Oryctolagus cuniculus: one gene and its partner. The protein of the gene in region 1 purifies or fractionates together with the protein of each later gene. This does not show direct contact. Links are inferred from orthologs where the notes say so. Each region holds a gene or a part of one and is shown on either strand. Other genes may lie near its edges.

Evidence for each region. The genes of interacting proteins can lie anywhere in the genome.
Region 2: the proteins of NDUFA12 (region 1) and NDUFA4 purify together in Homo sapiens (affinity purification with mass spectrometry; 3 studies listed by BioGRID and IntAct, with this or other methods). This does not show direct contact. The link is inferred for Oryctolagus cuniculus from reciprocal best matches to the Homo sapiens genes NDUFA12 and COXFA4.

What each region holds. Positions count from the first base shown.
Region 1 is NC_091442.1:97,982,590-97,986,578, forward strand, and holds the start of NDUFA12 (NADH dehydrogenase [ubiquinone] 1 alpha subcomplex subunit 12), read right to left. Parts: upstream 2,801-3,989; 5' UTR 2,720-2,800; intron 2,428-2,719; 5' UTR 2,381-2,427; coding exon 2,148-2,380; intron 1,316-2,147; coding exon 1,233-1,315; intron 1-1,232. UniProt on the Homo sapiens protein: Accessory subunit of the mitochondrial membrane respiratory chain NADH dehydrogenase (Complex I), that is believed not to be involved in catalysis. Complex I functions in the transfer of electrons from NADH to the respiratory chain.
Region 2 is NC_091447.1:35,093,111-35,097,380, forward strand, and holds the start of NDUFA4 (cytochrome c oxidase subunit NDUFA4), read left to right. Parts: upstream 1-1,470; 5' UTR 1,471-1,598; coding exon 1,599-1,640; intron 1,641-2,508; coding exon 2,509-2,597; intron 2,598-3,256; coding exon 3,257-3,407; 3' UTR 3,408-4,270. UniProt on the Homo sapiens protein: Component of the cytochrome c oxidase, the last enzyme in the mitochondrial electron transport chain which drives oxidative phosphorylation.

The sequences.
Region 1 (3,989 bases):
GCCACTCACTCTTCATTTTTTATTCCAAAGGCAAAGTGACAGAGCAGCAGAGCTCCCATCTGCTGGCTGACTGCTCAGATGCTCCCAGCAGCCAGGACTGGGCCAAGGCGAAGCTCGGAGCTGGGGACTCAATCCACGTCTCCCACGTGGCAGGCAGGGATTCAATTATTGAAGCCATGACTCCTGCTCCCAAGGGTCTGTACTGGCAGGAAGCTAAAATTAGGACATGGAGCTGAGGACTGAGCCCAGGAACTCCCACATGGGACACACACATCTTCAATATTGTCTTAACCACAGGCTAAATGGCTGTTTTTCAATACAACCTTCTGGGGCAAATATGATCATTCTACTTGAAGATGAGAAAACTGAGGTTTAGAGACATTAACAAGAAATGTGCAAATTTATCAGTACCCAACTGATAATACACTAAAGCTACTTTTAGAATTTACTACTAAAATCATGGTGCAATGGGTATTTCTGTTTTTGCAAGAATATTTATAGCTTGAATTCTTGGAAGAAGTACTGAGAGAAAGGATATACCCAATGTAAAATTCTGTATGTGTTAGCCGGCACTGCGGCTCACTAGGCTAATCCTCCACCCGCGGCGCCAGCACACCGGGTTCTAGTCCTGGTCGGGGAGCTGGATTCTGTCCCGGTTGCCCCTCTTCCAGGCCAGCCCTCTGCTATGGCCCGGGAGTGCAGTGGAGGATGGCCCAAGTCCTTGGACCCTGCACCCGCATGGGAGACCAGGAGAAGCACCTGGCTCCTGCCATCGGATCAGCGCAGTGCGCCGGTCGCAGTGCGCTGGCCACAGCGGCCATTGGAAGGTGAACCAATGGCAAAAGGAAGACCTTTCTCTCTGTCTCTCTCTCTCTCACTGTCCACTCTGCCTGTCAAAAAAAATTTTTTTTTTTTGTATGTGTTACCAAATTGTTGTCTAAAAAGACAGCATTAAGTGATGTATTCTTATGCTTTTCCTCGCACTGGGAGATACTTCGAAATTTGATAGGTGAAAAAAAGATAACACTTTTCTGAAGTTGCATTCCTGTAATTGTGAGTGGGGATAAGCATCTTTCATGCCTCTGGTGGCCATTTAGTTTGTTTTTCTTGTCCATTTTCTATTGAGTTTTTCACTCATTTCCAAGTGCTTTGTAAACGTTCCTACTGTTATGGAAAAAACACCCAAATCAAATCCCAATCCAATAGTTCATGACAAAAAATACAACACTCACCAAAAAACTGCTTGTTGTCTTCATAGTATTTGTTTCCGTATTTGTCTTCCCCCACTAAGGTACCAACCCTCACATCATTTGCCCTGTGAATACACAAAAGAAAACAGGTATTTAGAGTGGTTCTTTGTTCAAAACACAAACGAGAATACAACTCCCTGACCCCAAGTCGGCCTCATCAACTAGAAACTGGGTGGGCACGGTCACTGCTGGGCCGGCTAGCCTTCCTCGCCAGGCTCTCGGCACCCACTGTGGAAGAATCAGCCGCCAGGTTGACAGCTCCCCTACTCGTGGTAGGGTCAGGCAGCCAGAACCGGAAAGGGTAAACGGAGACACGGAACGTGCTTAAATTACAACAGAAATGCACTATTTTCAAATCTCATCTGCTCTCCCTGCCCCATGAGACACTGGAGGCAGCAAAACCGTCAAGATATCCGGAGGCCAAAGTATTTCATCTTCTTAAAATGACACGAGGTGTCCTGGCTCTTCCATTCCACTCAGGGTCACCAATTCGGTTTCTGCGGAGCAGGCTGCCCAGACCGGATCAGTGACGATAGGGTGTTGTAGGGCGCACCATGATCACTTCTTTCAGAGCCTTACCATAGAGAGGAACTGGAGGCCAAGGCCAGGACAGGGAAAAAACTTTCCCAAGGTCACCAAGTGAACGGTAATGCTACTTAGTCTCCAGGGGCCGGATGCCCCCCAGTCCGTGTCACAGCTGTCTCTAGAGGTGGCTTCGGCCCCGTCTCGAGGAGGTTCGGGGCCTTGGGCCGGGGGCTGCAAAGCAGAGACTGGGCCAGCTGTCCTTGACCACAACTGTCGGCTCTGAAAGGCGTTCCAACTTTGGGCCCCCTTCCAAGAAACCAACCAGAACAAGTCCAAGTCCCGGAGACCACGAGCACGGCTCCCGCTGCCTACCTGAAAAACACTCGGAGGTAGCCCCGGAGGCCGCCGTGGCCGCTGACCTGCTGCAGCCCCCGCTTCAGGACCTGCAGCAACTCCATCTTGTCCGGCAAGCCCCGCCTCCTGCGTGCCCCGAGCAAAACTCGCCGGGCGGAAGCGGCCACGCCGCCGCTGAGAAGGTTCCTGCGCACGCCCGGCGTAGAAGTGGCTCTGCGCGTGCGCAGAGCTGGAACTCCCGGGGTAACCATTGGGGGGCCGAAGTAGGCGCTGCGGGTTTCCCTCCGAAGCAAAGGCACTGTAAAGTTTAAATTTTTAGAGGTTGAGTACAGAGGCGAGAATGTAGTGGAAAGCTCACCTAGACGAGGTTTCCCCAGATAGGGAAAGATGACTGGCTGAAACGATTGCAGAAGTCTTTCCCAGTGCGCCAGGCGTCTTTGGAAACAAGATGTAAGGAAGTAGATCGTGACCACATACGGACGTTATGTATTCGATACGATATTGCTTACAAACGACGGTACTTCAGAAAATTCGTGGAGAATGGAATTATGCGTGGAGTTCAGACACTTTTTGCTCCATAATAAACTTACCTTTCGATTCCGTTTTCCACGAACTTCCTGCGGTACCCTTGGATAAGCGATGTGTTGATATGGGAGTGAGGAGGAATAGCAAATGCAAGGTGAACATGAATCAGATCTGCTCAAGATTCACAACTCTTCAACTCCTGGCAAATCGCATGGGGGAAAGAAGCCTTTGTTAATGTTTAGTCCCCTTTCCACCCCATTCCCACCCTGGCAAAGCACTGTTACTATCATTTGGGACAGAATTCTGTTTCATTATGTGTTTTTGCATAGAATTGCGTATCTGCAACTCAGCTCGAATTTATGGAGCTTTAAAATGTATTTGAAGTGCTATTTAAATTGGAATTTAAATTATGAACGTGTTTTAAATTTGTGTAATAACTTTTGCACTGTAAAACAGTTCCTTCCTCCCATTCCCTAAATACAGAGAACAAAATGCTCCTAAGAAGCCCACAGGGTGGGCATTTGGTGCTGCTGGGGATGCCCACATCTCATATCTGAGTGTCTGGGTTTGAGTCAACTTGGCTTCTGATTGCAACTTTCTGCTAATGTGCACCCCTGGAGGCAAGAGGTGATGGCTCCAGTACTTGGGTCTAAACACCCATGTGACAGACCATGATTGAATTCTGGGTCTTGAGCTAGGCACTCTGCTATGGACATAATTATTTAAACTTCTTATAAAGTTTCTTGTGTAACTTTTGCTTTCCAAGGCCATCAGCAGGGAGCTGGATTGGAAGTGGAGCAGCTGGGACTAGAACTGGCACGCATATGACATGCTGGCACCACAGGTGGATGCTTAACTCACTACACCACAGCACTGGCCCCTTCCCTTGCTTTTAAAACAGCAGTTTAACTGCATACGTAAGTACCCTATTGATAATGTATTATTTTCTCCCTGCTTTCAATAAACTAGTTCAGTTCTATTCTTTCGCATGTTTTAGGCTTGCAATCTGCATGCCTTGTATTTTTGGAATTCACTCATGTTAACATATTCTTTTTTGATGTATAGTATTCCACTGGATGACTGTACCACAATTTCTCAAAAAAAGATTTAAAGGCAGAATGACAAAAAGAGGAACCCACTGGTTTACTCCCCAAATGCCCACAACAGCTGGGGCTGGGCCAGGCTGAAGCCAGGAGCCAGAATTCCATCTGGGTCTCCTATGTGGGTGGCAGGGCCTCAAGTACTTGAGCCATCATCTGCTGCCTCGGAGGCCCATTAGCGGGAAGCTGCATTGGAAGTGGAGTTGCTGGGACTTGGACCAGGTGCTCTATATGG
Region 2 (4,270 bases), on another chromosome or scaffold:
TTTCAAGCCCAAATACCTTCTCACTTATATCTTACACTGCTCGAGATGAAAATCAGTCATATCCTTCAACTGCACAAGTCCCTAAATTTCTAAGTGCTTTATTTCCTGAAATTACAGCTCCCAAATTGACCGATTAGTTTTTCAACTCTTCATTGCACAATATTGTCAACTGCAGACAATAACTGACACATGCTGTAACATATTCTTTACCTTTTCATTTCCCTGAATTCTCTGATTTCATCAGGGATATTGTCTTCTGATTCACTGAGATAAGTGTTTGCCCAAATGTTCCAGCACTGCACTATATATGTTGCCATACTTCTGGCCTCAAGTAATAGTTACCTTGTGACCTATTTGTCGGCTAGACCTGAATCCAACACTACCTACTTTGGGACTGTTGTGATGACATGTCACCACACTTTCAATGCCAGATTCTACTAGAGCAGGCTAGGCTATGTTCCATCAACAAACGACTACTCTCAAAGTTAGTTTCTTACAACAGTGGAGACCTATTTCTCATTCTAACACAGGTCCACTGCAGGTCAGCACGGGTTCTGCACCCAGCAGTTCTCATCCTGACACCAAAGATAACAAAATAGCCCCCTGTCTAGAACCCTGTGACCTTGGGGCAGAAGGAAAAGGGGAACTACGTGTCGGCTCGTAACACTTACGCTTACATATGACACATGTACCTTTGACATCTGCTAATAAATCAAACTTCATCCCAACGAGGCGGATGAGTGACATCTCTCTCCAGGAAGAGGCGGTATTCAACATCATCTACCACATGTACCTACCCTTACGAAAACCTAAGTGGGCTAAGTGGAAAAGAGCACCGAAAATCCATTTTAAGAGTGCAAGCTCGGGGCCGGGGAGAGAGTGAGAGCCACGTCACGGAGGACCAGGACCCGCAGGCGTAGCGGACACACTGACAGGACTACCGTCCTCTTCGAGTCATTCACCAGCTCCTAACCTCCGCCCCGCGAGCGGCAGTCTCAGGCAGGAAGCAGCTGCAGTCTTCAGAAACCGCAGCCGCTGACCTTCGCGTCCAGAGACACGACCCGGCCTCCCGGCGCGCGGCGTCCGGCAGCCGGAGGCGCGGCGCTGCTCCCTCAGCGACGTCCAGGGCCAGGCAGCGCGCGCCCGGCACGCGCGCCCCCAGCACCTCAGCGCGCGCCCGCGGCTGTCAGGCGCCGCGCGAGAGGCCCTCGCCCGCCCGCAGGCCTCGCGCCTCAACACGTGGCCTCTCAGGAAAGTGCCTGCCTGGTCGAGCGAAGGCTCGTGGAGCCAACCCATGAAATTACCCGTCCAAAATACACACGGAGCAAGAAGGAAGGCTGATTTTTCGCTCTGGCGTAGAATGGTCTTGCCTGGGCTGGTGAGGACCGACGGTGAGCCGCTGTGTGGAAGCAGGCACTGGCGAGGACAGCCGCATCCGGGCCCTCCCGCCGCAGGCTGCCCTCCGAGCCAGGGGTCCTTCAGGTGGGAGGTCCTGGGTGACTTTGGAAGTCCTCACTGCCGTGGTGTGGAGACTGTGTAGTCCCGACGTTCCGGGTTTGTCTGTCTGTCGTTGCGGACTTGGGAGTTTTGCTGCAGTTATGCTTCGCCAGATCATCGGTCAGGCTAAGAAGCACCCAAGCGTAAGTTCGGGACGTCTGGCCAGTGGCTTTGGTTGGTCTTGGTGCGGCTGCTCTGTCCCCTGGGAGCGTCCTCCCTTTCCGGGCACCTGCTGTCTGCCTCGGGGCCAGACCTTGCCTCACCTTACGCTGCGGTTCTGGTTGTCCCAGGCCCGTGGGCTGTGAGCCACGCCACGCTTTGCAGGCTCTTGGCTGACGGGCCGAAGGTGAGGTCCAGGGTTGGAACAGTCGGGACAGTCTCGCGCGGCCCTTGTCTCGTGCGGTCGGTGCAGCAGGGACAGATGGATTAGTGACCCCCTGAGGGACCTTCCCTGTCATGCCTCCTCTGGAGGGTCTTGTATTCACCGCATTGCACCACCAGGCCCTGTGGCAAGTACGAGGGGCCCAGGATCTTGGTGTCTTTACCTTCTCTGGATGCCTTGACATTTTGGGAATTTGTAGCGTGGAGTTTACTTGCAACTTCTTCTGTGTCTCCTTTTCTTCCAGCAACCCTCTGTGGGCCTAAAATTGAATTACGCATTCATTAATCTTACCTTAAGCCCAGTTCCCTACTCAGAATTGGTAGCAGTATGTTTTCATAGATGATGCTCACAGCCAGTATTAGCAGTAGACATACTTCTGTTGCAGGCTCCTAATTTCACAGAGATCTTGGTTTTCATACATCTGGTTGGAGGGACACTTAAACAGTTTGCAAGAGCTGTTTTTTCAAACCTCAAAGGACCCATAAAATTTAATGAGAATGATGTGTAAGTATTAGGTGAAAAAACTTGGTACCTCTGCAGATGCAAAAACTACTGTAAGCTCTTGTAAGTCAATATCTAGGTACTTGAAGATGGTAGTTGATTCTTGTCTGTTTTGTGTTTGTTTCTAGTTGATCCCCCTCTTCATATTTATTGGAGCAGGAGGTACTGGAGCTGCATTGTATGTCATGCGTCTGGCATTGTTCAATCCAGATGTCAGGTAAGTAAAAATGTTCAAAACTGTGATGGTTTATCAAGCTGGTTTAGGAGCCAGGGTTTTTGTTTGGAGACAGTAAGTACTAGAACAAACCTAGATTTTGTGACCATGTAGTAAGTTCGCATCCCTGTTTTGTTGTCATTTACTTTTCCTGACTCATGAACTTGTAGTTTCATGTTCTTACTGGTATGGTAGAATTGCAAATACCAAATTTTATAAGAATGTTTTGAGGATTGACATATTGTTCTTATGCAACACTTATATTTTCTGGTACATGCAAATATTTTTTGCCTGCTTTTCCATAATACATAATGTTTCTTTTTGTAGTTGGAAAATAATAAATGAGGTTCATTTAGCTTTATTCTCTGTACTTTTCTATGTATTGCTTGACTGATGATATATAAATGTTTAAGTTGTACTCTTTTGATGGGAATGGGGACAAGGACACCTGCCCCAAGAGACTCTCTTACCATTTTTATAATTGACTACATAGGGCTGTTTATTATAGAACTCATTGCTGTTTTGACTCCATAATGAAGGTAACAATATACTGTTTAGTGGAAAATGAGATAGATCCATTCAAAATACTAGCTTCCTAAGTACAAAACATTATTTTAATTGGAATGATTACCGTAACAATTATAATGTTTCATTCCTTGCAGTTGGGACAGAAAGAATAACCCAGAACCCTGGAACAAACTGGGTCCCAATGATCAATACAAGGTAAGCTACTGTTGTTACAGAATTGTTGGAAAATGTGTGGCGATAAATATTTATGTGGTATTTTTCTCTGGAAATTGGATATATAAGTAAAATTCCTTTACTTTGAAGACTTGCTAGATTGCTCTTGAAATTAAAATGGTGTATTATTTTTATAAATACTTTTTTCCTAGGGATTTCATTTCCAGTCTTTAGATGTTGGATATGAAATTAAGATAATGTGTCAAGTAAACTGTTTTGACTGAGATTAAAAGGAAAAAGATATTTACCATTTTTTAGTTTCGAGATAGTCCGGTGCAAACTTTGTTGTCCACAGAGGTTTTCAAAAGGAGAATTTCTTTAGTTCTTCCCTCAGACGTGCTGAGTCAGTTGGTCTGTTGTGGGCACTGAGGATTTGTATTTCCAGGAGATGCAGGTCCTCCATGGGCTATACTTTCAGTATTACTAAACTGTTGGGTGGTTTGGTTTGGGTATGATTGAAGTTTAGTAAGAAAAAATGAAAGTCATGTGAAAGTCAAATTTTACCTTGAATTCCTAAATAAGCCTTAACTGTCTACCTGAGTGTTCTGTGGAACCACTCTTCCTTAGAAAGATTTCATGGACTAAGTCCATGTATTGATTCCCCAACATTATTTTCCTTATGTGTAAAAATCTTGCATACAAATCCTTTCACAGTCATAGATTTTATCATATTTAAGTATTGAATACACATACCAAACATTTCTACCTGTTTAAAGTGTGTAGCTTGACCATGCACTTACATCGAACTTCTTCATCAAAAGAGAGTAACTGGAACTTTGCTTTAGCACTCTTGAATACTGCCCTGACCAGTATGTATCCAGGACCTCTTAGCAGATATATGAAATGGATATTCTCATTACTGCTTACAGCATATTTTTAAGATCAGCCTTTTTGTCCAAGTTTTCTACTTAACTTGATTGTAACTTAACTTGTAA